Regions from separate parts of the Mus musculus genome. Here regions 1, 2, 3, 4, 5 and 7 are each reported to be linked to region 6. Evidence: microRNA targets listed by miRTarBase, many of them from high-throughput screens and not tested one by one. Region 6 holds a microRNA gene; each other region holds the end of a gene's coding sequence. Distances are between the middles of the regions.

The links. The annotated mature microRNA mmu-miR-10a-5p reads UACCCUGUAGAUCCGAAUUUGUG and lies in region 6 at 2,630-2,652, shown strand. An mRNA with a match to its seed (bases 2 to 7 or 8) in the 3' UTR can be bound and repressed. Matches are read on the target gene's strand: a 7mer-m8 pairs with bases 2 to 8, a 7mer-A1 pairs with bases 2 to 7 and ends in A, and an 8mer does both.
Region 1: miRTarBase lists Crkl as a target of mmu-miR-10a-5p. Seed matches in the 3' UTR shown: 7mer-m8 at 2,555-2,561, 7mer-m8 at 1,080-1,086 and 7mer-m8 at 510-516.
Region 2: miRTarBase lists Ube2j2 as a target of mmu-miR-10a-5p. Seed matches in the 3' UTR shown: 7mer-m8 at 3,363-3,369 and 7mer-m8 at 1,959-1,965.
Region 3: the mRNA of Bloc1s3 is a reported target of mmu-miR-10a-5p. Seed matches in the 3' UTR shown: 7mer-m8 at 1,213-1,219.
Region 4: the mRNA of Mtf1 is a reported target of mmu-miR-10a-5p. Seed matches in the 3' UTR shown: 7mer-m8 at 3,117-3,123, 7mer-A1 at 2,029-2,035 and 8mer at 906-913.
Region 5: the mRNA of Zbtb6 is a reported target of mmu-miR-10a-5p. Seed matches in the 3' UTR shown: 7mer-m8 at 1,269-1,275.
Region 7: miRTarBase lists Mfsd11 as a target of mmu-miR-10a-5p. Seed matches in the 3' UTR shown: 7mer-m8 at 2,081-2,087.

What each region holds. Positions count from the first base shown.
Region 1 is chr16:17,483,102-17,487,167 of GRCm38, reverse strand. Crkl (v-crk avian sarcoma virus CT10 oncogene homolog-like) reads right to left here. Exons shown (of 3, transcript NM_007764.5): 3 at 1-3,507. The coding sequence ends at 3,373. Among named protein-coding and RNA genes, the nearest start is that of Aifm3, 6.8 kb to the left of the region's middle.
Region 2 is chr4:155,956,748-155,960,813 of GRCm38, reverse strand. It overlaps Ube2j2 (ubiquitin-conjugating enzyme E2J 2), which reads right to left. Exons shown (of 8, transcript NM_021402.6): 8 at 1,210-3,733. The coding sequence ends at 3,449. Among named protein-coding and RNA genes, the nearest start is that of C1qtnf12, 3.5 kb to the left of the region's middle.
Region 3 is chr7:19,503,308-19,507,362 of GRCm38, reverse strand. It overlaps Bloc1s3 (biogenesis of lysosomal organelles complex-1, subunit 3), which reads left to right. Exons shown (of 2, transcript NM_177692.4): 2 at 1-1,559. The coding sequence ends at 349. Among named protein-coding and RNA genes, the nearest start is that of Bloc1s3, 3.0 kb to the left of the region's middle.
Region 4 is chr4:124,843,652-124,847,717 of GRCm38, reverse strand. It overlaps Mtf1 (metal response element binding transcription factor 1), which reads right to left. Exons shown (of 11, transcript NM_008636.4): 11 at 1-3,571. The coding sequence ends at 3,375. Among named protein-coding and RNA genes, the nearest start is that of 1110065P20Rik, 4.9 kb to the left of the region's middle.
Region 5 is chr2:37,425,388-37,429,453 of GRCm38, forward strand. Zbtb6 (zinc finger and BTB domain containing 6) reads right to left here. Exons shown (of 2, transcript NM_146253.5): 2 at 113-4,066. The coding sequence ends at 3,256. Among named protein-coding and RNA genes, the nearest start is that of Zbtb6, 3.5 kb to the right of the region's middle.
Region 6 is chr11:96,314,557-96,318,622 of GRCm38, forward strand. It overlaps Mir10a (microRNA 10a), which reads left to right and starts at 2,609; the gene lies at 2,609-2,718. It overlaps Hoxb4 (homeobox B4), which reads left to right and starts at 3,711. Exons shown (of 2, transcript NM_010459.7): 1 at 3,711-4,066. It also overlaps a transcript of Hoxb3 not described here.
Region 7 is chr11:116,873,276-116,877,341 of GRCm38, reverse strand. It overlaps Mfsd11 (major facilitator superfamily domain containing 11), which reads right to left. Exons shown (of 13, transcript NM_178620.4): 12 at 3,963-4,066; 13 at 1,682-3,561. The coding sequence ends at 3,397. Among named protein-coding and RNA genes, the nearest start is that of Mfsd11, 21 kb to the right of the region's middle.

The DNA.
Region 1 (4,066 bases), not on the chromosome of region 6:
CTTTAAGTTATACACGTCAAAAGAGTTTTATGTCATTTTAAAACACACAGTGAAGACCGTCTAGAAGCAAGGCCACTGTCCTCCTGTCTCAGAACTGTCCTCCTGCTCCTTCAGAATATACAAGCAGCTCAGCGTCCACGCTCACAGCAGTTAACCAGGGAGGGGTTCACTGGTTCCAGAGTGAGGAGTCCACAGAAAGCATTAGTCTTAGGTACTGTGTTAAAACAATCAAGAATTCACTCATTTTAAGAGGTTAATGAACATAATATTAAAAGATTAAATTATGAACACCTGGAACAAAAACACATCATCCCTTTTTTTTTTTTTAAATGCTCATTATTCTTTTGAGTAAAGGTTACAAGAGCAGTGGCCATCAGTCTTGGCCCATCTTGTCTGTAAACAGCTGTAGAGGAAGGCTGGCACAGTGCCAGGATCGTGCAACTTGAAAAGAGGGCAGAGTCTCTTCCAGTGAGCACAGAGGGTTACGTCTGGATGACAAAAGCCAGGACACCCTGTCAACCTCGAAACAGGTGGCATCAGAGCAGTGCAGAGTGACAAGCATGCCTTCTGTATGGGGTTGGAGGTGGAGGTGGGGGGCTGTCACCCAGGACTAACTAGCCCTTAAAGCCCTCAACTACCTAATTGTTTCCTTCTCAGATACAACAGCCATAGCAAGTGGGTTTATCATCCCAGTACTTTCTACAACATGGCAGAGCAGACCACACAGCACTGATGATGAGAAAAGGAAGCCTCCATCGTACTCCCCTGAAACCAAGGGTCTTCCCAGAAGAGTGGGACTTGGGGAAGATGCTGCTTTCTATCAGTGAGAGAGATTTCCATGATTAAAAATCGATGAGCTTCTAAGTCAGAGAATTACTATTGTTGGCACGCACGCACGTATCCTGAGAGTTCAGAAAGTTAAGTCTTTATTTTGAGATCTGGATCTCTGAGGAAGCTGCATAGACATTTACATGTGCCAAATTAACTGATTACATAAAGCAAACTCCAGGGTTATGGGACATTCTGATCATGAAGTATTCCTTAGAGTCTTGCTGGTCAACAGTCTTGGGAAAAGGGAAACCCTGTTCTCAAAAATGGCTGTTTATGCTAAGCAAGGTGCTATAATCAAAAGGCACCAAGCCCTTCAGTTAAATGTAGTTTTAAAAGACCTTAAGAGCTGGGTGTGGTGACTCAAACCTTTATAATTTCAGCTGAGGCTGGGATGGAAATCTTGAAGCCAGCATGGGCAATTTATAGAGATCCCATCTCGGATTTCAAAAGCTTACTGGCAGCCGGTTATCTAGCACGTGTAAGGCATGAGGTTCAGGCCCCAGTGATGGGGTATCCCTTGGGGGTTGTGCCCTCAGTGAACAAGGTGTGTATTCCAGTGGAGACATCAAAGGCCTGGGGCTAAACTGTGTAACTGGCCAGAAGGCAAGTCTTAAATCTTGATTTAGGCAGAGTCTGGGGCCTGAACACTTAAGTCCACTCAATAGGTCTGGCTAGAAATGGCAGCTTTCAGAGACAAAAAGAAGTAACCTCTACAGACGTGACACTCCCCATACCCCAAATGACCATTACTTTGTCACATGAACATTCTTTACTATAGAACTTAGCCTGATGGACTACTGATTTAAAGAGAAACTAATGGGGCTCAAGAAATGGCTCAGTGGTTAAGGTCTTCTTGCAGAGGACCCAGGTTCAATTCCTAGAACCCACAGAGTAACTCCACAGTTCCAGAGGATCCAACCAACACCCTTTTCTGGCCTCCTAACAAACTACCCATGTGATACACATACATACATGTAGTGGAAACACCCATATACAGTTTTTTTTGGGGGGAGGTCTGAGGGGGGGATTGGGCCATCTTCTGATACAAGGTATGTATGTAGGCCTGCCTGTCCTGTGACACACTACATAGATCAGGATAGCCTTGAACTCTCAGAGATCCACTTGCCTTTGCCTTTCTGAGTACTGGGATTAAAGGTGTGTCCACCATGCCCAACATAAACAAAAATTTAAAGTCTTTAAGAGAAATAAATATAGTGGACAAAGGGTTTTGTTGGTTTTGTCACCTGAATATGTTCCATTAGTTCTCAAAGCCTCAGGCCTGCAGAACCAGGGCCATGGTTACAGAAGATATTCTGTAAATGCTAGAGCTGCTCACTAGCCACTACTCCATCTCTAGGTCTGCTACGTTCGTTCTGTGTGGAGGTGTATCCTCATCAGGGTCCAACTGAAAAGAGTGCACTCTAGAAAGGTTCTAGAGCTCTGGTTTGCCATGTGTGGATGAGGGATCAGACACATATCTGTAGTAGCTGACATGCAAGGAAAAATGGCTCATGATCGAGGGGCGTCTTCTTTTGCTCAGAAGCACTGTATTCTGGTTCTACTCAGGCTGTGGAACCAGAACAGACACCACTCTCAAGCTGCCTGGACAAGCTAGGTCAGTACAGGAAGGGCTGGGTGGCCTCTGTGGTGGAACACAGCAATGCAATTTAACTCACGGATCTAGTAAGCCCACAGACTTCAAACGTTTTCACTGAAGAGGCCCACCCTGTCTGCTCCTGTCAGAGGCAGCGATGACAGCAGGCCCACCCCCACCTTGGTGCTTCACAGCAAGGTACACCATGACTGCTGCTGTGCACTGTTTGCCACATGGTAAACAAGGTACTGTGGCAACCAAAAGATAAAGGCCCCTGGAGGGGGTCTTTTCCTATTTTAGTTACGTACAGTGGCTTCAGTTTGGAAGCTCAGAGACATGGATTGTTCCTTAGACCATCATAGACCAACCTACTATTTAAAAATCTGTTCAGAACACACAACTATAATTAATTAGTCTTCCAAAAAACAAAACTAAACAAAAGAAAATGAAAACCAGCCAGACTTGAGGAGTTCGGGACAGAATTGTCTGGAGTTTTACTTCCTCTGTCGTCCAAAGAAAACTGAGTTGGTGGCAAAACCACTGTTCTGTGGACCAGCAAAGCGAGACCTTGCCAAGCCTCACCGTCTCCATGCAGACCATCAGCAGGCTTGCTTGCTCTCTCTGTCAGCCTCCAGTACAAACAAGGCAGTGATGGATGGGAAGGAAGAGCTGCTCTGGGTTCCAGTCTCTACTGTGTGCTTCCACCAGTGTTTCCAGTTCACAATCCACAAGAACTCTAAATCAGCTACTCTTTGACAGCATGACTATGATACAAATGCCGAGCCAGCGAGCAAGGCAGCTGCTGAGGCATTCCGTATGTGCAGGGACTGCCAATGTATGGAAAGCTGACCGCCAGCAGCTCGGTGTAACTTGCATGTGACAGAGTGCTTCCCACTTCAAAGGAGACTGACAGGCAGAAGGAGGCAGCAGCAGGGACAGCACAGCAATCACTCGTTGTCATCGGGGTTCTGAGGGTCAAAGATTTTAACATGTGTGAAGGGGAAAAGCCCCTTGCGCCCATTCACCTCGCCTTCCCATTGGCCATTGATATTCATCCTTGTGACTTTCACAATGTCACCAACCTGTAAGGGAAGAGGGAAAGAAAACAAAATTAGCATCACTACAAACAAGGAAGACAGTTTACATTAAATCACAAACACTGTCTATACAAAAATCAAGTAGTACAAAGACACGAGATGCCACCAACCACCCAGGATACCTGTCGCTGGCAAAAACTCAGGAAGCAGCCTCTGAACACAGAGCAGCCACTCCCTCCAGCGTTACTAATAAATGGACATGTATGAGCATCCAACTCTAAGAACGTGCATGTTAAGCTGAATAAAAGGGTAAGAAGTGCGGACTGGTGGCACATACCTTCAATCCCAGTCTTTGGGAGGCAGAGGCAGGCAGATCTCTGAGTCAGCCTCATGGACAGAGCGAGTTCCAGGACAGCCAATGGCTTACACAGAGCAACCCTGTCTTGGGAGGAAAGTGGGAAGTAGCCAGGTGTGGTGCTTATAATCCCCACAGACAACACACAGGAGGCTAAGAGGACCTTCAGTTTGAGACCAGCACGGACTTAATAAAACCATCTTGCTCTGACAGTATATTTATGTAAAACTGAAATGATACAGAGATAAT
Region 2 (4,066 bases), not on the chromosome of region 6:
GCTCTCATCCAAGCCCTGGAGAAAACAGGAACCGGTGGCTCACTATAGATGCAAAGGCTACTCCGGCCTAAAATAATAGCACCTAGGAGGCAGACAGAGAATTAAAGTCCAGCCTGAGTTACATGAGGCCCTGTTTAAAAAAAAAAAAAATTCCTGAGAGAGCTTGACACCTTGACAGCACACCTGAAAGCTCTAGAACAAAAAGAAGCAAACACCAAGTGGAGAAGAGGCAGGAAACAATCAAACTCAGGGCTGTAATCAACCAAATAGAAACAAAAAGAACTGCACAAAGAATCAACAAAACCAGGAGCTGGTTCTTTGAGAAAATCAACAAGACAGATAAACCCTTAGCCAGACTAACCAGAGGGCACAAAGACAGTATCCAAACTAATAAAATCAGAAATGAAAAGGGACACATAACAATGAACTATATCTTAAAATAATTGTTTGTTGAAAATATTAAAATCATGTTCTACAAACAAAATGGAAATATTACTGATAATTTTTCTCACTGTGCTTGAAATTAGCATTTTCTTAATGTTTAACTTCGAAGAGTTTTCACTATTTTGAAATTTTAAAAATATACTTACTGATAAAATAATCTCTCCTAGAAACACTGATATTCTTTTTTAAGTAAACTTATAGTTAAGACAATGTACACAGATATATAAGGCATTTTTAATACTCTCTTACTATGCCAGGTGGTATAAGGGCTTTTGAATATATCTCTTAATGATTCAATTTTAATATTTTATGCTCTAATACTATGCTTAATTCCCAAAGAATATTTTGTATGTTTTGAAACAATTTAGTATTCAATATTAAATATAGGATCCTCAGTTATGGATAGTATTAAATGTTCATTAATGATATTTTTAGGATGAAAGGATATGAAAGTTGAACAAAATTTTTTATGTATTATTTGACTCTCAAAATACCCATTAATGTTTGATTATTAAATGCATTGAAATAAAAAATTTAAGGAAAAAAACTCCCAAAGACTATCTGAGAGCTCTTTTTCTCAGGGAAGAACAGAAGTGGCCAAGTGGGAAAGTTCCCTTCCAAGGTACCCCTTTCTTTGAATAACAACAGAATGTGAGCTTTAGGAGAGGTTTTCACCTCCTAAGGAAGAGCTAATAGAGGGCAGTCCTGGATGCCAACTGCCCCAGTCAGTGACCTCTCCCAAGACAAGTCAACAAGGCAGGCATGCTTGAGCCAATGGTTAAAAAGGCCACCTTTTATTCGGGGGTCAGAGCACGGAACACACAGTGGACACTCTAGGGTCCTGTAGCACTCAAAGCTGGGAGAAGTGTTGGGGCTAACCTGCCAAGCCGGCACAGCACTCTTCAGTCGTACACTAAGTGCGACACCTTGTGGCCAGAGAGCAGGCTGCTTTTTACTTCTACCCTAAGAACAAGCACTTCCTAAAATTTTCTTTCCTTCTGAGCTGTTAAGAGTTTGGTCCTGTGAAGGCTTGATGCCCCAGTGAAGGGCAGTAGGGTGGTGGGGCAGGACTGGGTGGGGGAGCACCCTCATGGAGGCAGGAGGATGGGATGGGGGTTCTTTGGAGAGAAAACCGGGAAGGGGGATAACAATTGAAATGTAAATAAACAAAATAACCAATTAAAAATTTTAAAAAAGGGCTGGTGAGATGGCTCAGTGGTTAAGAGTACTGACTGCTCTTCCAGAGGTCCTGAGTTCAAATCCCAGCAACCACATGGTGGTTCACAACCATCTGACACCCTCTTCTGAAGTGTCTGAAGACAGCTAGTGTACTTACATATAATAAAATAAATAAATCTTAAAAATTTTTTAAAATCAAAGTTGAGCTTTCAGTTGGGCAATGGAGGCCCACACCTTGAATCCTAGCTCTTGGGAGGCAAAGGCACGTGGATCTGAGATGAAGGACAGCTTGATTTATAGAGTGAGTTCTAGGACAGCTGGGGACACACAGAGAAACCCTGTCTTGAAATCCCTAAACTCCCATAAAGGCCATGCTGGGGCCAGGGGGCTGGGGGTGGTGCTGAGATTTCAGAGGACTAAATTCGATAATGTTCTGTCTTTCAAGAACTTCAGGAAACACCAATTTGGAATTGAGGTAATTTGCAACGGAGCACTCTGGGACCAGGGAAAAATTACCATCTACCAATAGTAGGAAGCACATGTCTGTAGGGCTCCACCCACCGAAGGCTGCACAGGTTGCACAGGCCCAACCAAGGGTTGTCAATCTACCTTTTGGCAGCTGCAACATTCCCTTCTCACAAGCCAGGCATTGCACTTGGTCACAGCCTACCAGGGAAGGGACATTAACACAGACATCGTGGAGTTCAGAGCAAAGGGGTAACTAAAGACCGTTTTAGGAGAGGACTACATGGTATATACATACTAGTTGTAAACCACAGAGCTGAATTACAGGTAATCATCACATGGGAGCACTTCAGCTTTACCATGGCCCCTGAAAGGAGGTGGGCTTAGAAGGCTTTTAGGAGCCCCTGGTGATGATTGATGCCCAACACAGACGATGTTAGCCTTCCCAAACAACTACTGCAGGTACATTAAGCAAAATCTCAAAGAGATGACATCCATAAGGGAGCTTGCCAGCTTACTGGTGGCCTGGTGACGTGTTCTGGGCAGTTTCCCTCTCCATGATCTGTAGAGAGCGACATCTTACATAGGTCACCCGGAAAGGATGGTGTAGCCTACCGTAAGATATGAAAGAACTTGGAGTGCACTGTCTGCCAACATAGGAGGGCCGGCTTCTGGCCAACTGGACATAAGGAACCAGGGTTACCAAGGCTCCTACTTCTCCATCACTCAAGGGAGCTGAAAGCAGAGGTACTAAGGTTGACAGCAGTACCTGGGCTACCCACAGTCCTTCACCACAGTCCTCAGCCACGGTTCTAAGTGCAGCACTTTGTGGTCAGAGAGCAAGCTGCTGCTTCTACCTTAACAGAAAGCAGAACCGGCACTTTGTGTGAGTCTTCTCTCACTCAGAAGCAATTTTACAATGAGATCAAATCAGTCCTCTCCTAGACCAGCCGGCCCACTTAGCCCCACCAGGAGGCTTTCAGCTCCTCCACTAAGAACACACACAGAGTATTTGATAGGCATTAAAGTTTTATATTTTAAGTGACCAAATCTAATAAAATGAAAAACAAAACAAAACAAAACCAACAAAACAGGTTTACTAAACAGGGTCAAAAGACAACACAGGAGATAAGCAGTAAAACCAGAGCGCGAGTGGCTCCGTCCAGTCAACCTCAAGAGGGAGTTGAGAACCACCAGTCTCCTCCAGATCACATTTTGGTTTTTGCTTTCTCTTTAAGGTTTGTAAAAAGTGAAGCCCGGGAGTCCGGCAGGCCACCCTGTGCCAGCACGTCCTTCACGCCGGCATCAAGCTCTGGCCCTGTGTCCCTCGGCAGCAACTGTAGGCTGTGGCTTGTGACCCTCACTCCTGTGCTATGCTTCTCAGCACGTACTTGACCGTGTAGGCGAAGGCTGCAAACCCAACTATAACAAACAAGTTCGCCAACGCGCCGCCCAGGAGTCCGTGATGCCTGTTGGCCTGTGGGAGCCCAGCGAGGTTGGGGCCAGCAGCGGGTGCGTGCCCATTGAGGAGCTGGATCCCATGCTGGCCACGGTGCAGCTCCCCATCAGGAACCACGTCTGGCAAAGGAAGATTCTGGGGCCTGTTACTTAGTTCATCTTGTGCTTTCTGTTTCTGTTTAATTTCCTGAGAGAAAAACAAAAAAACCCTCAGTTGTCTTAACCTGTCCATTTGGGAGCAGAACTCAAGTTTTTACAAGCTCAGATCTACCACCCAGAACACAGTTCCCCATGCCTCTGCATGAGCATAGCTTTGCATCCCATTTTACAGGTAAAGAAAGCAAGCAAGGTGTCAACATCATTCCTCTGTGCCCGAGTCGAGTAACGAGCTACCAAAAGCTACACCACCTTCCAGCCCACAGTACATGCCCAGCCCTTGCAGGAGGCAACTGATGCACCCCCTGGCTACTGGTGGCAGATCTCTTGAGGGATGGCCACTGATCAGCAAGCATGCCTCTGT
Region 3 (4,055 bases), not on the chromosome of region 6:
GCGCGATCCGGCGGAGACTTGGGGCACGGAGGAGACCCCTGCCATGGCGCCTGCGCGCTCGCTGCTGCAGCTCCGGTTGGCTGAGAGCCAGACGCGCCTGGACCACGACGTAGCGGCTGCGGTGAGCGGCGTGTACCGCCGTGCGGGTCGCGATGTGGCCGCCCTGGCGGGGAGGCTGGCGGCTGCTCAGGCCACCGGGCTGGCAGCCGCCCACAGCGTGCGCCTGGCGCGCGGGGACCTCTGCGCGCTCGCCGAGCGCCTGGATATCGTGGCTGGCTGTCGCTTGCTGCCGGACATACGAGGGGTCCCTGGTATGGAGCCCGAGCAGGACCCGGGACCTAGAGCCTAGGCTGTCACTCTGTGTCCCCCCACCTGACTCTGCCTCTTGGTGAACATTCGTACCACCTGTGGCATCTGACTCTGTTTTTGTTCCTGGATCACCGAGGCCTCCAATGCGTGGTAGCATTTGATCAATGCCGACAGAAGCCGAATCCTCGCATCTTCTTTGATATTCTTAGCACAATTCCGGGCTCCCCAACCCAGGTTCTGTGGCTATCAAGTAGCTTAGCCCCTATCCATTCTGGTCCTGTTTCCTAAATTCAGCTTTACTCTTGGGCAAAGCCAGAGGTTTGCTTTCTTTTGTTGAGCCTTTCTGAATTTAGGCTTTGGGGGGTAGTGGTGTCTCTCTAGTTTACATCCCTAAATGATGATCACTCCTGACCCGAGGATACCTTCCTCTTACACATATCCCTCTTACCGACCGCTGTGGCCAAATGCAGACCAACCTAGGGCCTGGGTAGTAACCCTAATTCTTAGGCCTTTGTGTCAGGGGCAGCGCCTCCTGGTGTTTTGATCGCTATAGAGACATGACACCACAAATACAAATCTACCACTCACTGTGTCTCTTTCTGGATGCTAAAAGGACTTGGATTCTGACCTCTATGGGCCTCGAGGATAACAGGTTCTTTTTGCCTCTTTGGGTTTGGCTCTTTGGGTGTCTTTTTGGCCACTCCTTTTGTCTCTGTCTTAATGAGGATTCAGTGACCTTATGTGGAAGGGAGCTCGGGTGGTGGGGTGAGACTGTAGCTCAGTGGTGTCGTGTACGCTTAGTGTGGGCGGCCCTGGGTTCAATTCCTAGGACCACCCTGCTTCAAAAGAAACAAACAAGCACATTCTTTGTTTGTTTGTTTTGTTTTTGTTTTGTTTTTTGAGACAGGGTTTCTCTGTGTAGTCCTGGCTGTCCTGGAACTCACTTTGTAGACCAGGCTGGCCTCAAACTCAGAAATTCACCTGCTTCTGCCTCCCAAGTGCTGGGATTAAAGGCGTGTGCCACCACTGCCCGGTCAAACTAGAACATTCTTAGATGCCTGTGTCCCCTTTAAAAATTTACCCAGGGTGGGGGGTGGGGTGGGGCTGGAAAGTAGAGGTCCTGAGTTCAAACCCCAGAAACCACATGGTGGCTCACAACCATCTGTATTGAGATCTGATGCCCTCTTCTGGTGTGTCTGAAGACAGCTACAATGTACTTATATATAATAAATAAATTATTAAAAAATTTACCCTCTTGATTCTAACTATCAGCTGATATGCTATTTTGTTTTTACATCAACTAGAGTCAGGGTTTTTATTGGTAATTAGGCGTGGAGATTGGGGATTTAGCTCAGGGTTACAGCTCTTGCCTAGCAAGTGCAAGGCCCTGGGTTTGGTCCTCAGCTCAAAAAACAAAACAAAACCTCAAAAAAATCCAACCAAACCCCTCCCCTCCTCAAAAACAAAACATGTAACTGGTGCATGTCAGGCAGTGGTGGCACACACCTCAGTCCCAGCACTGGCTGGGCAGAGGCAGGCAGATCTGAGCTTGAGGCCAGCTTGGTCTGTAGAGCAAGTTCCAGAACAGCCAGGGCTACCCAGAGAAATCCTGTCTCAGTTTTAAAAAAGGAAAAAAATTGTGTGCACATATGTGTGTGCTTGCAGGTATGTTTACCCAGTATGTGTGCTGTATACAGGTGTGCCTATATGTTCAGGTGTGTCCATGTGTGTGTGTAAGCACGTGTGCTTGCATGTGTGTAGAGCTTCCTGTGTATAAACAGGTGTGTCTGCATGCATGCAGGTGTGACTGTATTGTGGGCTCAGGTGTGCCTGGATGTGCAGATCTGTCTGCAGATGTCAGGAGCTGTGTATGTGCATGTAAGGGCCTGTATGTGACAGGTGATGTGCAAGGCTGTCCTCTCCCGAAGCTCTGCTGTGCCGCTGGCACAAGGCCACCACAGAAAGGACTTGTTGACCTTTGAGTTCCCTAGAAGAAGGGGGTATAAGGAGGCTGTGCCACCTCACCTGAGGGTCCAGCCACTCTTCACAAGCACTTGTTTACAACTCTGCCCTAACTCCACCTGTGTCAGGGACTGGGTAGATGTACACAGACCAAGAAAGGACAGAGAGGGGGCTCCATGTACACAGCCACACACAAGCCATCCCTACTGCATGCATACCTTCCAGTAGGGCTGCTCCTGCTCTTAACCCCACACTCTTGCTCCATAAAGCATGGGACCTTGAAAGGTACCATGGTCCCCGGCTGAGCTAAGGCTAGAAGCCGAGGAGAGCCTGAAGGGACCTAAGGAGGTTTACCTGCTCCAGGGCACCAGGCCTGTCACTAGCAGCAGCCCCACCCCCATAGATTTGTGACCATCAGTCATGTAAGGGGAACGCCCAAGCCCCTCCACTCGTAAAGGCTGTGACCTGTGGTCAAGTAGGCACAAGACAGATCTCCATTTTTAACAAGGTTCCTAAAGGCCTGGAGGATGTAGCCAGTAAGCTTTCCTTCCCAGACATTCCTCCCTGCATCCACTTTCCGTCATGACAATAAATGCCTCAACAGTCCTCCTGCATTCCTAGTGCTGGATTGATTATGGGCGTGACCCATCCCTCTGGGAGATAGACAAAACCCAGGGTACTCGGTTGGTCAAGAACAAAGGTGAGGGTCCTGAGAAAATGGTTCAGTGGCTAAGAGCTCTTGCTTTGGACACAGGTGAAGCTGGGGTCCAATCCCCAAGAACAAAGGCAGGCACAGCTGCGCATGCCTGGAACCCAAATTGGGGGTGACAGAGACAGGAAGATCCTGAGAGCTTGCTGGCCAACCAGCCTAGCAGAAAAGGCAAGTGTCCAATTCAGTGGGACCCCCATCTCAAAACAGCAAGGCAGTGCAGGGTAACAGAAGAGGACACTCAGCAGCCAGCCCTGACATCCACATGCACACACGCACATACAGAGGTTGAGGCTGGACAGGGTGAGGACCTGCGTGGATCCAGGCCACAGGCAGAACCCCTTATCAGTGCAGGAATGTAGCTGGGGCTACAGGTTAGGGGTAGTACTAGGTGGGGACAGGGGTGGGGTTGAGAGCCCAAACCCTCCCACTTCTATCCCTTCTGCTCAAAATGCTTGCCAACTTCCTCTGGTACTTGGAGATCTTCTATCAGAGGCCCCGAGGTAGCCCCATCTGTGCAGGTGGCAGCCCCATGCCAATCTCCTGCGTGGGCACAGTGTCTCTGAGTTGATCTTCCTTGGGTGGCTTCAGTGACCCAGCATGCCTCGCTTGCACAGTGAACACAGCAAGCACCCTAGGCATGTCTGTAGATTCCAGGGTGTGATTAAGCCAGGACCAGGTGATATTAAAGTTCCCAGCTGCTCCCTGGCTCTCTGCTGCCCTCTGTTGGAAATCCAGAGAAGACACACTGTTGTTGCCTGTGGGAAAATCCGTTTACCTTGAGCCTAGTTCTGACCCTTCAGAGTCTCTGGTTCCATTTTTTCAAAAATTACTTACCCAGGGTGGGAGACAGTACTGCCACCTGGAGCTTGTGGATGATCTAAATTTTTATTGGAATATATTTTGGAGGGGGCGAGGGCAGGGTCTCATGTATCCCAGGCTGGCCAGGAACTCCCTGGGGAGAACCTTTAGATCCTTGTCATTTACGCCTGTTTTCTGGAATTATAGACCTGTGCTGTGCCACCACAAGTCTTGGTTTGTTTTATTTTTATTACATCATACACACACACACACA
Region 4 (4,066 bases), not on the chromosome of region 6:
CCAGGGCCACGTGGGATAGCGACTGTCAAGCTACGCATATATTGCACCCAAGTAAGTGCTCTTTTTACACCTCAACTTAACTTTTATTCTGAGCAAAAAATAAAACTTTGGGGAAAGTATATATATGTATATATACATACACAACAGAAATTGCAGCAATTGGGTTAAAGATAAAAGTAACCTAAAGTGCTTTTTATTTTATTATTTAAAATATCAATATGAGGTTCTGCAAATTTGTCCCTCTGGACACATTCAGCATAATACAAAGCCTCAGGCAAAACTCAGGCACCTCCATTACCCCATCAGCCCACTGCCTTGATCCGGAAAACAACCTTTTCCCATCCACTGACTCTGAAAGGGAAGGGGAGTCCCATTGCCTTCTACCTAGAGGGCTCTCCACACCCCAAGCCTCTCCTTGGCATTGTACCATCATCTTATGAACCAAAGTCAACAGAGGACAGTACTCCTGTGGCCAAACTAGTGCTGCCCAAGGGCACTGAGCTCTCTTCTCTCAGCCTTACCCTCCTGCCTGGGAAGGACCACATTTATAAGGCAATTGGGTGGGACCAAGATCACCTGACCACCTCCTAGGTCCATCAGCCCTGCTGCCAACTAGTCTCTTGGAAGAGGCTAAACTGGAGATGCTAGTGGTAACCCAAGTCTCGTCTACAGGGTGACAGTGGTGATGGCTGTCGTGGAAGGAAAGGCTTAATCGACTTGCCAGAATTCACTCTTCTTGGCCTTACCCTAAGGTCATTCCCTGGCGAAACCACTCCATGAAGGGTCTTCGTGGTTCTAGTTTAGCCAGGAGGTTCCCTCTTCTCCAAGGTCCTTAGCATTAGAGGCTGGGCTTGTGGAAAGATGGGGGAAGGACCACTGGTACAAGCATGGCCGAAGCGTCTGTCTACCCTGTTTCACACATTGGCTCTCCACAACCACCAACTGCAAGCAGAGTCCTCACTTTCCAAAACCTCTTAGGTTCTGAGAGTCTCTTGTGTTCTAAAATCACTTAGCTCCTTCACCTAGCAACACTTCAGCCTCAACACTGCTCAAATGTTTCTTCACCATGCCAACTGTGGAGGGTGAAAAGCCAATAACCTAGGAATGGACCATTAAGAGCACAGCCCTAGCAAACCAAGAAGCCATATTTAAACCATTGAAACCTTCCATACATCCTCCCTAGGCTCCTGTTTCCTATGTCAGCTCCCAGGGTGTCATAGGCAGAGTGAGTGGGAGGGCCATTACTACCCCTTGTTACAAGCTCACTTTGGGGGTCCCATTCACTGCTCTCCTCAGAGAAGAGAAACGAGTGAGGGCCCGAGTGCAAAGCTTCCTGTGAGTGCAAGTCCTAGAGACAGCTGAGGACAATCTACACCCAAGCAGCTGGTTCCCAGAAGGACTAACCACGGCGCCAACAGGGGGCTCCTCACACCGTGCAGATTCCTGCTGAGGTCTATGGTTGCCCAAATCCATCAACCTTTTTTGGGTGTGTGTGGGGTGTGGGGGTGTAGAACATCAGAAATTCATACTCCTGGTCCAATCCTGGAATGGGAGATCAGCTGCTTGTACCTGTGCCATTTCTCAATAGTGCTGCCATGACCCTCTTGGCCAATTGTCCCTAAATACCTTGCCTAAAGACAAGGGTCACCATCCTAGCTGGCTCTGAGGAAAGGTCCAGACTGCAGGAGGGCAACCTACACAGCTCTCTGGTTGTCCTGTTGGGGCACCAGACCCTGCTCTTTGCTGGAGACAGACGCCTCCTCCAGTCCCAGACCCAGCTACCTTCTGACCTTGCCAAGCACTGATGGCTACAGTAAACAGCCGAAGGACAGCCACACCCCCATTCTCCTATAGATTGTACTTATGTTTGAAGAGGCAATAACCAGGAGCCAAAGGCAAGGAGATGGGTATAATTTTATACACTAATAAAAAAAAATTCCTGTAACACAACTCAACAAAACATTCCAAATGAGGTAAACTGACTGCAAGCTTCAGGCTTTTTGGTGGAAGGGGTTTGTTTGTTTGTTTTACCCTGAGTAGAATATCATCATTTTAGGTTTTTATTCCTTTTTGTTTAGAGATCACATCTTCCTTTGCACTGTATGAGGCTGTATGCAAATCTAAGAGACATGAGACATGCAGCTGGGAGAGGATAACCAAAGCCTGGCTACAACTGGGTACCAGAATGCCTGCCGACCACCTGCTGCCTCACCATCTAACTCCTTTAGCTCTGCACTTTCTCTGGAAAAGCAGCCCTTCTGCTCTGAGGAAGCAAACATCATCGAAGGCAGGAAGACCCTGGCAGCCACTGGCCAGAAGCCTCTCATTCACTTTAGGATAAAACAGGGCGCTTCCGTAGGAGAGATGAACTTCAAGCCTCAAGCACTAACAAGCACTGAGAGATGGAAAGAGCCAAGAAGGCAAGACTGTGGCTGTGCTAGATAGCTCTAGGGTCTAGCACATTATCAACAGAGCTGTCAACAACTGCCTCGGGGCCCTGCAGAACCACATCTTCCCTCTGGCCAGGAGGCCTGCAGCTGCCCGCTAGGACTAAGCAGGACACAGGGCAGCCCCCTCTGCATCTACCCCAAGCTCCACAGAAACCAAGTGCCAACAACAAAGCAACTCACCCAGTCTAACTCACGCCTGCCCTTGCCACTCCCCGCTTTCATAGAGCGGTGGTCTGGCCCTCCAGGTACTGCCTCGGATTAAACAGACACAGAAGAGAAGCAACACCCGGCAGGCACAGTGGCCTCTCCTGCCCAATCCACAGTGACCCCAGTGCAAATGATGGGCAGTACCAAAGTGATGGAAACCACACCCTTTCATTTAGAACTTTTATGCATACACGTAACCTTAGTTTCCAAGTTCACATAACAATAAGCAAAAGTGACACACAGTGCAGCCAGACAGTTCACTTATAACTTAGCTTTTTTTTTTCTTTTTTTGTTTTTGTTTTTTGTTTTTTCCTCCAAAGATCAGTTCCTTAAAATGGATGTTCCTGGGATACGAGTAAAGAAAATACGTCTGAAAGGTGAGCTTTCAGATGGCAGATTTCTTCATCCTTCCAATTTCTGACCCCATGACGGCAGCATCACAGCCGGTACTTCCTGCTCACCCTGTTCCTGGAGGGGTGTGCGCACAGGCCCTTCCCCTGGAGAAGCTGCCGGCCAGGCTCTTTCCTCTACCCCTGCAGTAGTGCTTCACTGTGAACCGGATTGGACGGGGTGTCCAGGCTCTGGAGGGACAGGAACTCTGACACATCCATGGCACTTAACGTTTCGGAGGGTCTGAGGAGCCTCAGCCTGTCTGCTGTGCTCACAGGAAGAGGGTCCAGCGGAGGGGGGGGGGGGGGGCAGGGATGAGGGAGAAGTCTAGGGTGGCAGCTGCAGGCTGGGCCCATCAGGAGGCTGGGGGTTCGGCTCTGGAGGGGGTGGGGAAGAACATCCCTTTCTCCGGCCGGCCGCCCGCTCCTTCGCAGAGTCCCGGCACGCGCACTGACACTGACAGGCCTCCTCTTGTTTGATGATGATCACAGGAACACTGAGGCCAATCTGCTGAACAGAGCTCCCTGTGAGAGAGGCGAGAGAGACTGCTCTTCAAGTGGCCAGGAACAGGCATGAGGGGCAGGGGAGTAAGGTAAGGACGGGGGGGGGTGGGGGGGGGGGTGGGGGGGGGTGGGACCTGACTGCTGGGAGGCAGGAGTGACAGACAGGAGAGACGCCATGCTTTGGCTTTTGCTATGCTGGTCCGGGTTCTTTCTCAGGGAAAAAGCCTGTGCGGATTCTCCCATCCACGATGATGCTTCCTTCTTAGAAGACTCACCCACATCATCTAGATGCACCCTGTCCTCTGTGCCGCGTCTGCAGCCACAGCAGACGCCACCCTTCTTACTCTGAGCCCTCCCTTTTGCTTAAACTTGCTTGGGGCAGACAGTGCCCGCATCTTTCAAGGACCAATTCGCTCCCTGTTCTCTTCCTGCCCCAGGTGGTGACCCCTGACTAACCACTGGAGGCAGTACTGAGCACCAGGCGCATGCACACAGCATTGCTGCTTGCATTCCATA
Region 5 (4,066 bases), not on the chromosome of region 6:
ATATAATAATAAATCTTATGTACACATAACCCCACACACATAATTTTAAAAAACATTATTACTAAAGAGAAAATGATTCCTTTAAAATTCATAGAAATACACAAGCCCAAAGTTCTCCATTCCCACCTCCGGTTTATTGTTTCATACAAACATAATTACATCCAATGAAAAGAGGAAAGGATTTTCTCTACAACAAAGTAACAACCTTTTCAAGATCTTTTACACATTTAAATGCAGTACATACTAGGTTCAACCCAAATATACTGCTTTTTCTGACATAAACAAACAGCTAAAAGTATTTAAAATGAATAAATGCTACACTTTACTTTGTCATACCTTCATATCTTTACAGATTCTACTTTGCTGAATTTTTCAGAAATGTCATGCAAGCGGATGCTCTCCCAGGAATGTTTTTGTTTTGTTTTACTTTTTTATTTTGTTTTCCTTAAAACAATGTCTCCTGTATATGAGGCTGGCCTAAAACTTAGCTATATATAAGAAAGGCTGGCCCTGAACTGAATCTCTTGCCTCTATCTCCCAAGTGCTAGAATTATAGGCATGTGCACTTTGCCCAGCTCCTAGGATCAATTTGTCCACGTAATGGAAATAAATAATATAAATAACAACCACATTATAAAACACCCTCCCCACAAGCAAAACTTTCAAAGTGCTCACAAATTTTGATTTTACAACAATCTTACAAGGCACGAATAAAACTTAAAACACATTCAAAATGTTCTGAACACCCAGTATAGTACATACCACTTCCCCCAAGAACTCACTGTTTACTCCACCCATCCCTAACCCTCCCTTCCAAAAATCAATTCAGGAAGCAAAAATAAGAGAAGCACTTCAGTCACAAACTGTTTCTCTGAGGGGAATACGCTCACAACTATAACTGGCCATTCTTAAGTTATGTGCGAAAGGAAATTAGCCACTGAACCAATCCATTATAAAGTGGAACAAAATGTTTACTTTTAAAAAAGTTCTGTTTCCAAGAGAGTACTCAAATAGCAAATAGCAGTGTTTGAAAAGACATGTCTCCTCTGTTCACATGAAGAATATAAATTTGTAGAAATTTACTTAGAAATAACTCTACAAATTAGGAAGATCAAAGTTATTTTATATAAAATTAAGAAAAGTTGCGGGGCATGGTGGCACACACCTTTAATCCCAGCACTCAGGGGACAGAGGCAGGCGGATTTCTGAGTTCGAGGCCAGCCTGGTCTACAGAGTGAGTTCCAGGACAGCCAGGGCTATACAGAGAAACCCTGTCTCGAAAACAAAAAAAAAACAAAAAAAAACAAAAAAAAACAAAAAGAATGTTGAAGGACAGGTGACCTGCTTAATGTGATTAATTAGTGACTTGGTTTATGAAGTGACTTTGAGACTTATATTCTTTAAAGTCTCTCCCAGAGTTAAAAATTCAATGTAGAGCATTATTCCCACAAAAGTATCACAAAAATTATATATAATACCACATAATTTTCACAAACCTCTTATATAGTACAAAGTATTTTACATGTTAAAATATAGAAAAGAGTCAATAAAACTTAAATACTGTAGAAACTCTACACAGAGCTGAGTTATGTAGAGAAATAGGACAGTTTGAAAGTGACTTCTTGTGGTCAGAGAAGGTGATTTGCCTGGCAGTAAATTTTGCTCTTCATTGTAAGGACAAAAAAATTGAATGTACAGATATTCATACATATAATGAGACATTATAACTAATTCTAGTAGCTTTTAAAAATTAAAACTATTCACCTGATGACTGCTCGAAAAGAAAATGCATACAGAGGCAATTCAAAACAAAGACATAATCTCAGTGCTCAAGAATCAAGGCAAACTCGAGGCCAGCCCGAGCTGCACAAATCATGCCAAAAGTAAAATAAGAGATATGAAAACTTAATGACTTGATAATATACACAAATATTCACAAATATAAATCGAGCTCAATGGCACTATGTGGGGTTAAAAAATATCAAAAGGGAACATAAGATTCCAGTTTTATTATCACCTCAGATTAGAACAAATTATATTAATGAAGAACTCTTAGTAGAATTTAGAGTTAGAAAGGGTGGACTACAAAAGAGCAGCATAAGGGAATTTTGGAAGCTGGTGGAACTATTCTGTGTCCCAATTGCAGACAATTAGATATGTACTAAATTCGTAGAAATGTAATTCCACAGAGGTCAATTTTAGTGCATGTAAACCAAAACAAACACCAAAAGAAACCCTAAGTAAACAGTGTAACAATGTCTTTGATGAAAGTGGACTATTTAAGAAAAGTAACTTGCCAATCTAAGAAAATTGTCAATTTAAGAAAATACTTGCATTGGCCAGAGTTCTTAATCCAACCATGTTATATATTGTAGCCGCCTGCTGAACGAGAACTGGGTTCCCCTGAAAGGCGTGCTGGGGCTGAAAGAGACCAGAGGCAAGAAAAGAACTAGGCCAAGACAAACCTTTCTGTTCAAAGCCTCTGAAGTTTACTGAGAGTCCATGCTTATAAAGAGGGTAGGCCCATTCCCTGCCAGCCCATTCTTGGTGCCTGGAGCCAGCCAGTAGGTGATCTACAGGTCGGACGGTCTCAAAGACCTTTCAGCAGGAAGCAGTCTTGGAGAAGAGCAAATAGAGCCATCAAGGTCAGAAGGCTCTAGCCTCTCCTTCTTAGTGGCAGCAAGGTCAAAGTCTGGATCAGCCTGCTTCAAGGCTGAGGGAGGCTACAATATATATAATCAGGAAAAGGGTCTAATCACATATTCTTTTGGACATTTAAGTAATGTATTTCTAAAGACATTTTGCTGGCCCCATGTGAATTTGAATTGTGCTCCTTTAGTTTTAAGACAGTACCTTGGTGTTCTGGTTATAAATCAAGAACACTGGTTAAATTAAAAAAAAAAAAAACTGCTAGTCCTATCTGCTTTCAATATTAATAGCGATGTGCAACACTATGCTTTCAAATCTATTTTCTTGCCATCTTACTTCCTTAAAATTCTATATAGGTCAACAATAAATCACTTATCTAAAAACTACAAATCAGAATCTGCAATTACTCCTGAACAGAGGACTAATACATAATGTTTGAGACAATGTAGAATCTCATAAACTTAATCACACCACCAACTTTGGAATTATTAGAAGTTCAGAATGAATAACATGTAAGAACAAAAATAAATGATACAGATTGGGTGGGGGGCAACACTACATGTGCTGCATTTTTATAAAATGTGTCTAAAAAAGTCATTGATTTGATTACAGTAGATTCTGCCGTTTGAGATCAGGCCTAGATAATTTTTCACCACTGCTCCTGCCATGAACAGAGGTTAAGTGCTTTTTGAGAGCAGATTTGTGTTTGAAATCCATATCACAACAATGGCATTTATATGGCCGATCCCCACTGTGTATGTTCAAGTGGTCCTGAAGTGTGCTTTTAGCAGTAAAGGTCTTTAAACACACAGTACACTGAAAGGGCCTTATACCCATGTGTCCTCGAATATGCCGATTAAGATTTTTCTTCTGTGTAAATGTTTTCCCACACTGCAAGCACAAAAAGAGTTTATGCATCTTAAGGTGTCGCAGATAGTTTTCTACATGAAGAAATCCCCTTGGACACCTGGGGCACTGATGCCTCAAGGAAAAATTCTCATCCAGATTCTGGATCTCATTTACCGTACCATGACTTCCATCAGAATTCTCAGAAAATAACCCCTGATTTGTATTTCCAGGAACTTCTGTCACTCTGTTCTCAACTGTAGAATTGATCAATGAATGCTGTGTTTCAGGGAAATATATGCCTGCTTTGGATGAGGTACAAGGCTGTGAAAACTGCCCATTTTCTACATCATCTGTACTAATGGATTCTACATGGAGGATACAAATTTCATTCTCTTTAAAGCCACCATCTACTGCAGAGAGCTCCGGTGACTGCATTCTCATCCGCTCTGATGTCAGTGTCTCTGCAGCAGATTGTAATGCATTGCTTTCCTCCTCTTTGACATGGAAATCTAGGTTTACAGGACTATCTTCTGAAATTTCAATGATCTCACAGTCTTTATCAGAATTT
Region 6 (4,066 bases):
CATATTATACTAACTGCCTGCTCGTGGGGGAGGCCCGGAGAGGGGTGAACCGCAGGTCACGGCGTCTAAAAATTATTAAAATGTTCGAGAACCTCGTGACGCGCCTGCTGTTTAACAAAGACTGCCAAAGTATGAGATTAATACGAAAACTTGCTCTTCAAAAACAAAAACACACCAAAAAAAAAAAAAAAAAAGTCCTTTTCCGGCCTCCGAGGGGGCATGTGGTTCCACTGCCCGCAGCCGCGGTTCGGTTTTCCGGATACACAATAGTGGACAGGAGCGAGCTCCGCTGTTGCTCAGCGGGCCACGGCCGGTCGGCTTGGAGCAGGCGGGGAGCGGCTGGGTGAGTACTCTTGCCGGCTCAGGCCCTTGCTATGCTCAACGCGCTTGGGGTGCCCGGACCCGCTAGAGACTGACCTCCGGTTGGCCCTCGGGTTCCTGTTCCTCTCTGTTTCCCTTCCAACTCGTCCATAAAAGGTGGATGATTTTTCTGTGCCGCCGGGGGTAGGCCTGTGATGGCGGAGAAGGGCTGGGCTGGGCAGCGAGGGGTCACACTAGCAACCTGTGGCTGCCAGGAGAAGGCAGCCAAGTGGCCTCTAAAGGATCCGGAGCACTAGAGATAGGGCAGAGAGCGTGCCCAAGCCCCTGGCTCTGCGTGTTTTCATTGTTATGGTTATTGTTGTTGGTATTCTAGACATAGAGAGGTGAGGCTGCGTGTAGCTGCAATGAAACCTGTCCTGGAGTTGCAGATAAATCCTGTCTTCCGCCCCTGGCGTCTACACAGGGAGGGAGTGTGGATGGGGGTTGCAGCTGCGCCTTGGTGGGAGGGCAGGTGGTGGCTCTCCTATTCGCAAAAGCGAAAATCTCAGTGCTCCGGCCCTAGGTTCAACCATACCCAGCTTTGCATCTCTCTATCCCTATTCCTCTCCCTTGGAGCTCAGGAAACCTGGGCCACATCCCTTGTTAAAGCATAGATCAGCAAAATGTAGACTAGCTGCTCTCTGAAACAGAGTTAGACCAGTATTCAAGAGCAGGACAGGAGATATGGGATAGGGGAGGGGCCTGGACATTGGAGTGGGTCGTGGTACTTCTAAATACCTTTTGAGAGGACTGTTCTTGCTTGATGCTTGGGTCAAAGCAGCACACTTTGTCTATGGGTGACTAAATTGAACCCCGTCTTTGATGAAGATCAAAACTACAATGTATTTTCTCTGACTCTCTCTCCAGTTAAGTATGAGTCTGGCCTATAGGAGGGCATTGGGGTTAGAAAACAAACCCAGAGGACAACATTGCCATGCCTAGATCTATGAGGTTTAACAATAACAGCAGCAGCAGCAACAACAACAACAACAACAACAACAAAGACTGAGGTCTCTGGACCCAGTTGCCTGCAGGTGGGAGCTCTCCTGCCCATTTGCAAGGGTTCCTGGTGTGTGCATGCGTGGGTTTGGCTTGTTTGTGTATGTTCATGAAATTGACTGTGTTGTAATTTACTCAGTAAGGGCAGAAGTATCCCCCAAGCCTAGGGTGTTATAGCGGTGGTGATAGTGAGAAAGACTCTGCTGGACACACTTGCCCTCACCTGGTCACAGCTCTCCCAGTTTAAACTCCAGATCCTCAATTTCTCATTTTTTCAGTTTAGAAAAGTCAAATGTTAGTGGGAGCTTCAGGAAGTTCACCCAAAAACTCCAGAATCCCATTTTGGCCACACAGCCAGCAACCCAAGCAGGTGGATGGGCCCAGTTAGTGAGCCTCTAGACAGAGGATCCTTGCCTGGGGATAAGGTGTGGGTAGGGGGGGTCCTCCTCACACCTCTAGGGGGGTGTCCCCTTATTCCAGCCTCCAGGAGGTATGGGGGGGATATGTGAGGTTGGGAGGGGCCTGCACATCATCTGGCTGCAACTTTTATGGTTCCTCATTGCCCTTCATTCGGAAATGAACTGCCTTTGATCTTCTTCTCAGGTTGTAAACGGAATTGCCCGTCATTAAATATGGGGGGGGGGGCCATCTGTTTGGTCTCCCAGCATTTTTCCTCACAGCTGTTTTTCTCTCTCTTTTTAGCATTCACTTTTTCCAAAAGGACTTTTATTACACCCCCTTCACACCCAGACACCTCTCCCTCCTCCCTTTGCTTTGGAAAATATCTATATATGTGTTTGATCACAAACTAAAGGCTGTGGGGGCAAGGGAGGAACCTATTTGGGGTTTTGTATTTTTTCTTAAAAAAAAAAAAGTCATGGGGGGAGGGGAGGGGCCGAGGGCACCCAGAAAGGCCTGATTCTGACTTCGAGGCAGCCTCGGGATGACCCTTCCTTCTTTTGTGCTTAGCTAATGTTTACATCTAATAATTCATGCGCCACCGAAAGTCGCGCGGCAGCCACGAGGTTCGAGTCCCTTTGCACAACAGCTGCCTTTTTAAAAAATCTTATTTTATTTTTTGAATAGAAAGTTGAAACCCCTTGTAATCCCAAGAACGGACCCACAGTGACTTTTCTGCTCCCAGATCTCAAAATTAAAACAAAACGAAATAAAAATGAAAACATTCAGATCACACCCAAAAGAAGAACGCACGGAAAGTAAGAGAACTGGAAATTTCCTGGGCCAAGAAGACCTGTCTGTCTTCTGTATATACCCTGTAGATCCGAATTTGTGTAAGGAATTTTGTGGTCACAAATTCGTATCTAGGGGAATATGTAGTTGACATAAACACTCCGCTCATATTCTTTCCCAGAAGAAAAATAGATTATTTTCTAAATGAGGACAATCCAGTGACTGCCTTCAAGAAGACTCCTTTTCTTTTCCTCCCTCAACCAATGAGGGAGAAATCTCATCTACCTGAGGTGTCCCCATGCACACCCCTGGAAGCTTGGGTCCTTGTTCACTCAAGAGATTAATGTTACTGGTGTTTTAAAATTTATCTTTAAGCCCCAACCTACCTATTCTTATTCTGGGTCCAGGGGGCTTTATTGGAAATCATGAGGAGGAAAAAAAGATTGCTGAAGGCTGCAGTGTGCAAAGGCAAAGGAAATTTGCTTTTTAAAAGGATGCGAAGATTGCTGTTTCGTTGAATTCAAGACAAGATGCCCTGAAAACATAAGGTTGCCATGGGTGTTCTTGTGCGTGTGATGTTGGTGGGGGCGTCACAGCTAGGGCTCCTTTACTTAGTATTCAAGGTTGTGAAATTTCTTTCTGCCACACTGACAGAGGCGGCGGCTTTAGCGGCAATTAGAACTCTTGGTTAGCATTGCTTCGACGAATCTGGAATTAGCAAATTACTATTCAATTGGTTTTAGGAACTTGCGGGTTTGGTTTGGTTTCATTGTATCTTCTGTCTTTAGTGGAGGGAGTCCAGCCGTTCCTCTGACCTTGGGCCTTGTGGGTTAAAGGGAGGGAGTGTTGAGGAGGACAGACTGACGGACACAGCCGATGCTCATAGTGCAGCTAAATGCGATTTGGAAGGCGAAGTCTCCCCGAATTAGTGCGTGAATTTCCTATCGATCTGCTCGCGGTTCCATTCATCTCTGACAAGTCCCTCTGCGCACCCGCCTTCTAGCTCCCGACGCCTCCTCACTCACCTCCTACCCCTCCCCATCTGGCTGCACTGAGAAGCCCCAAGCTCAGCGCCCCTATGACCTAGTGGGTACCCATTTCAAGAAGGCGCTCCCTGGTCGGCCAACCACTTAAAACCCCACACAGACACCTAGTGCGTGAGCTCCCTCTTATCCTGGGGAGGAGATGGGGCCCTATGGGAGTCAGAGAAAGGTTGGTGGAGATTAGGTAGGGCAGGGGTGGGGGCTACACCCGCAGCCCCAACTTCTGAGGGATGCAGGGTTTGTGCTCTGCCCAGCCCCCTCACCCCCAAACAGGCCCTCCAATTAACCTGCTCACTCTTTCTTAGTTCATCACCCCTCTCTGTTGTGGAGAAAGCCAGGCGAGGAGGGGGTCTCCCCGCGGGAGCCCTATGTAAATCCTGGTGTTGGGTGGGTGGGGAGGGGTAGAGAAGGGGAAATAAACCTCTTTGGCTGGAGTAGGGTCCGGGTGAGCAGATTTCCTTATCCGGGAATCG
Region 7 (4,066 bases), 21 Mb from region 6:
ACTAAGGGCAACAACAGGGTCAACCAGCTGCTGGGGTTATCTCAGCTTCAAGAAAGCCAGCCAGACCTCAGCCTGGCATGGCGGTGCAAGCCTGTAATCCAGCATTTTGGAAACAGAAGCAGGTGGACCAGGGTTCAAGGTCAAATTCAACTACATAACAAATCTGAAGCTAGTTTTGCCTACCTGAAACCCTGCCTTACAAAACAAACCTTACAACCAGGGAGGACGCCATCGTTCCACACAGGGGACTTCTATAAGGACTGCGGCTGACAGCAGGGCTTTGCGGATTCCTACCCTACCATCAAATACTCAAAAATGCCAGGCATGGTGGTGCGTGTCTGTAATCCCAGCATTCAGAAGGTGGACAGGAGGAGGAGGAATGTGAGGTCAGTCTATGCTACATAGTGAGATGGAGGAGAGCCTAGGCTATACAATAGCCTATCTCAAGAACTGAAGCACGGAGCTAGAGAGAAGGCTCATGGGTTAAGGGTGTGCACTGCTCTTCCAGATGTGAGTGTGGTCAGTTCTTAGCACCCACACTGGGTGGCTCACAGCCACTCTAGCTCCAGGGGATCCCATGCCTCTGCCTTCTGACACTGACACAAGCATACACACCTAATCAATAATAAGAATAAATCTCACCTGCCCCCCACCCCCAAATCATCCAACCAACTACACAATTTCTAGATTCATGGCATGTTTCAGAGTCACAGGTCTGGGTGTGATGGCTATGCCTTTAATTCCAGCACTCAAGAGGGAAGGCAGATCTCTGTGAGTTCAAGACCAGTTTGGTTTAGGCTACTCTGAAGGGGAGTGGGGAGGTTGTAAAGGGGAGGGGAAAGGAGAGAGAGAGAGAGAGAGAGAGAGAGAGAGAGAGAGAGAGAGAGAAACACAAACCCAAACAAACTCCAAAAAACCAACAACCCCAAAGTGATGGAAAACAAGATATGTTTCTCTGAGCTGGACTCACTGTACTGTGGACAGATAAATGTCACGTTTAAAGGGAAGGCTCTGTTCTATGGAATATCCAGCAGGTCCAGACATAGGAAGGTTGTTAGTGCCTGCCACATCTGAGACGGGCTGAGGGCTGAGACAATGCAAGACAGTTCTGCAGTCCTGGGGCTGCAGAGCGGGCTGAGGATTGAGAGCACTTGGGGTTTGTCCTGGCTTGAATGAGAAAGGTCCCCACTGGCTCACACAGCTGAATGCTCCTCCCCCTCCCCCAGTTGGAGGAACTGTTTGGGAAGGATTGGGAGAAGTGTCACTGGAAGTGGGCTGGAGGGGTGGCTCCATGATTAAGAGCAGCAGCTGCTCTCCCAGAGGTTCTGAGTTCAATTTCTAGCATCCACACAGAGGCTCACAACCATCTGTAATGGCAGACCCATGGGAAGTTCTCTTCTGGTGTACATATATGCACACATATATCTATATACATAAGTTACATAAAGACAATTCTCTAAAGCAGAAAGCCATTCCCAGTTAGTTCTCTGCTACCTGCTTGTGGATAAAATGTGAGCTCTTGGCTACTGCTCTAGCCCCAGGCCTGTCCCGCTGTCATGCTTGCCACAATGATGGTCACAGACTTACCCTCTGGAACTTTTAAGTGCCAATAAACCCTTAAGCAAGTTCCCTTGGCTGGGCATTGGTAGTGCACACCTTTTTTTTTTTTTGACTGTGTATCTTTTTTTTTTTTTTTTTTTTTTTTTAAAGATTTATTTATTGATTATATGTAAGTACACTGTAGCTGTCTTCAGACACTCTAGAAGAGGGAGTCAGATCTTGTTGGGGATGGTTGTGAGCCACCATGTGGTTGCTGGGATTTGAACTCTGGACCTTCGGAAGAGCAGTCGGGTGCTCTTACCCACTGAGCCATCTCGCCAGCCCTTGACTGTGTATCTTAATGTAATTTTTCCAAGCAGGCACCAGACTTTTAATACAGAAGAAAAACAAGAAAGCTAGGCGAATACATCCGTCAAGGTACATCGACACAAAACAAAGAAATAGTGGACACTTTAATCCCAGCACTCAACCAGATTCTCCAGCCTCGTGAGTTCAAGGACAGCCAGTGCTACACAGAGAAACCCTGTCTCGAAACAAGTTGCCTTGGTATCTCTTCACAAGAGGAAAGTAACTAAGACACCAGAGAACGCACCCCATATCAGTGGTCTTTAACTGCCTGTAAATGCAGTTCGCAGGGATCCAATCTCCATCTGACTTCTCTGAGTTCTGTAGGCAGAATGTATATACAGACAAGCCACAGGCAAACACATACACTAATAAATAAAATAAAAAAGAATTTAAAAATAAAATATTGTCATTAGATATGGTGGCAGTTATACAACCTTATGCACACACACCACACATACACACTAAGTTGGTGAATTTTAGCCAGAGGTTGTTTGTGGCTTGGAAGAGCACAAGTTGGAGGCCAAGCTGCAGTACATACATGTTAGACCTGATCTAGATGCTTAATTAATTTAATATCTCAATCGTAAGAGTGTCAGTCCTTGTGGGAGACAGTCTGCAGTGCTTACGCACTTTCCCACAGAGGATGGCCGGAGTTTTCTTTATTGTAACGGTCAGGACAACCACAGCATGAGTCCTCCCCCTCCCAGTAAATACTCTTTCCTTCTCTAAATATGCTTTTATTAGTTGACAAATGACACAGTCTTTACCTCATTACACATAACCAGCCCCTTGCTGGGAGTGACAAGGTAAGACTTGTTCAACAAAGCATTTTAGGAGAAGTTGAAGTCTCAGCGGTGTGTGGTAGCATATTCTCACCACCCAGGCATTCTGGAGACAAAGGCAGGAGCATTGCCTGGTATACAAAGTCCAGGCCAGCCAAGGCTGCATATCAAGACCCTAACTCTTAGGATTGGAGCGTTTTAAATCCAGTGTTGGGCAATAACCCCAACACTGGAGGCAGGGGAGGGCTGCAAGTCCAAGACCAGCCTGGGCTACGCAGTGAGATCCTGTCTCAAAACAACGTGTCTCAGCATCCTTGCTGTGTTTCAGAAAGTCATTCCCAGACCCACACATGGAGTGGCATCTGCTTCCTATTTCGAAAGAGTGAGGCATACTCCACAGCCAGCAAGGATCTCGTGACACATGGCGAGCCAGGCTGGATCGTTCCTCGAGAATGAGGATGGAGGAGCCCTGATTGTGAGGAACTGAGGGAGGGGGTGGACGAACATCTCAGAACAGCTGTAACGGATAGAGCGGGATTCCCTTCCTCCGCTAGCGTGTGCCGCTAGGATATGTAAACTTTACTACCAACCCCGCCCGATTTCACAGTCTCCGTTCTCGCTTTAGCGATTATGAGACTGACAGGCCGTCGGATTTAACCAGCTGCCATGTGACCAGCTGTGTTTCTTGGAGACACTTGTTTTCTCATCAAATGCTTCGGTAGTCCGAGCCTCGGGCCACGATGGCAGCAGCGTCCCACTCCACAGCGAAGAAAGAAATGGTTCCAAAAAACCCAAATATCACCATGACCAGGAGCTGCCAGTGGAGGAGGAGGTAGTTGCTGTAGAAAAAGGCCACGGCTGCGCAGATTGACTAGAAGAAACAAGATAAATCACCAAGTGGATGCTGGGGCCTCAGATGCTCCACAGTCAGCCCAAAGGACATCTGCAACTGGCAGTGCCCGTGAAGACAGACTTCACTGGTCCCCAGCTCACAAATGCACCCCAACTTGCCTGACAGCAATAATCCAGTAAGCTGTGGCACTATAATAGTACAATAAAGTGATGAGAAGTCTGAGACTCTCTGGAGAGATGGGGCTGGTACCTAAGGAAGTATTCACTCAAGTGCAGAGACCAGAATTAAAGCCTCTCACCTAAGCAAGCCCACTGTGCCTGGTTCTCCTCACCCCCCTTTACAGGACACCCAGCATTCATTTAAACCCCCAGTGACCGAGGACAACGGGAAGGAAACCGACTGCAGCACAACCCAGTTACCTGAACAAACTTAAAGACCGCGAAGGCCGGCGCGCTGTCTTCCGAGTAGAGAAAACCCAGAATGCTAAGCAGCTGGGTGTTGAAGCAGCTGTCTCCCAGACCCA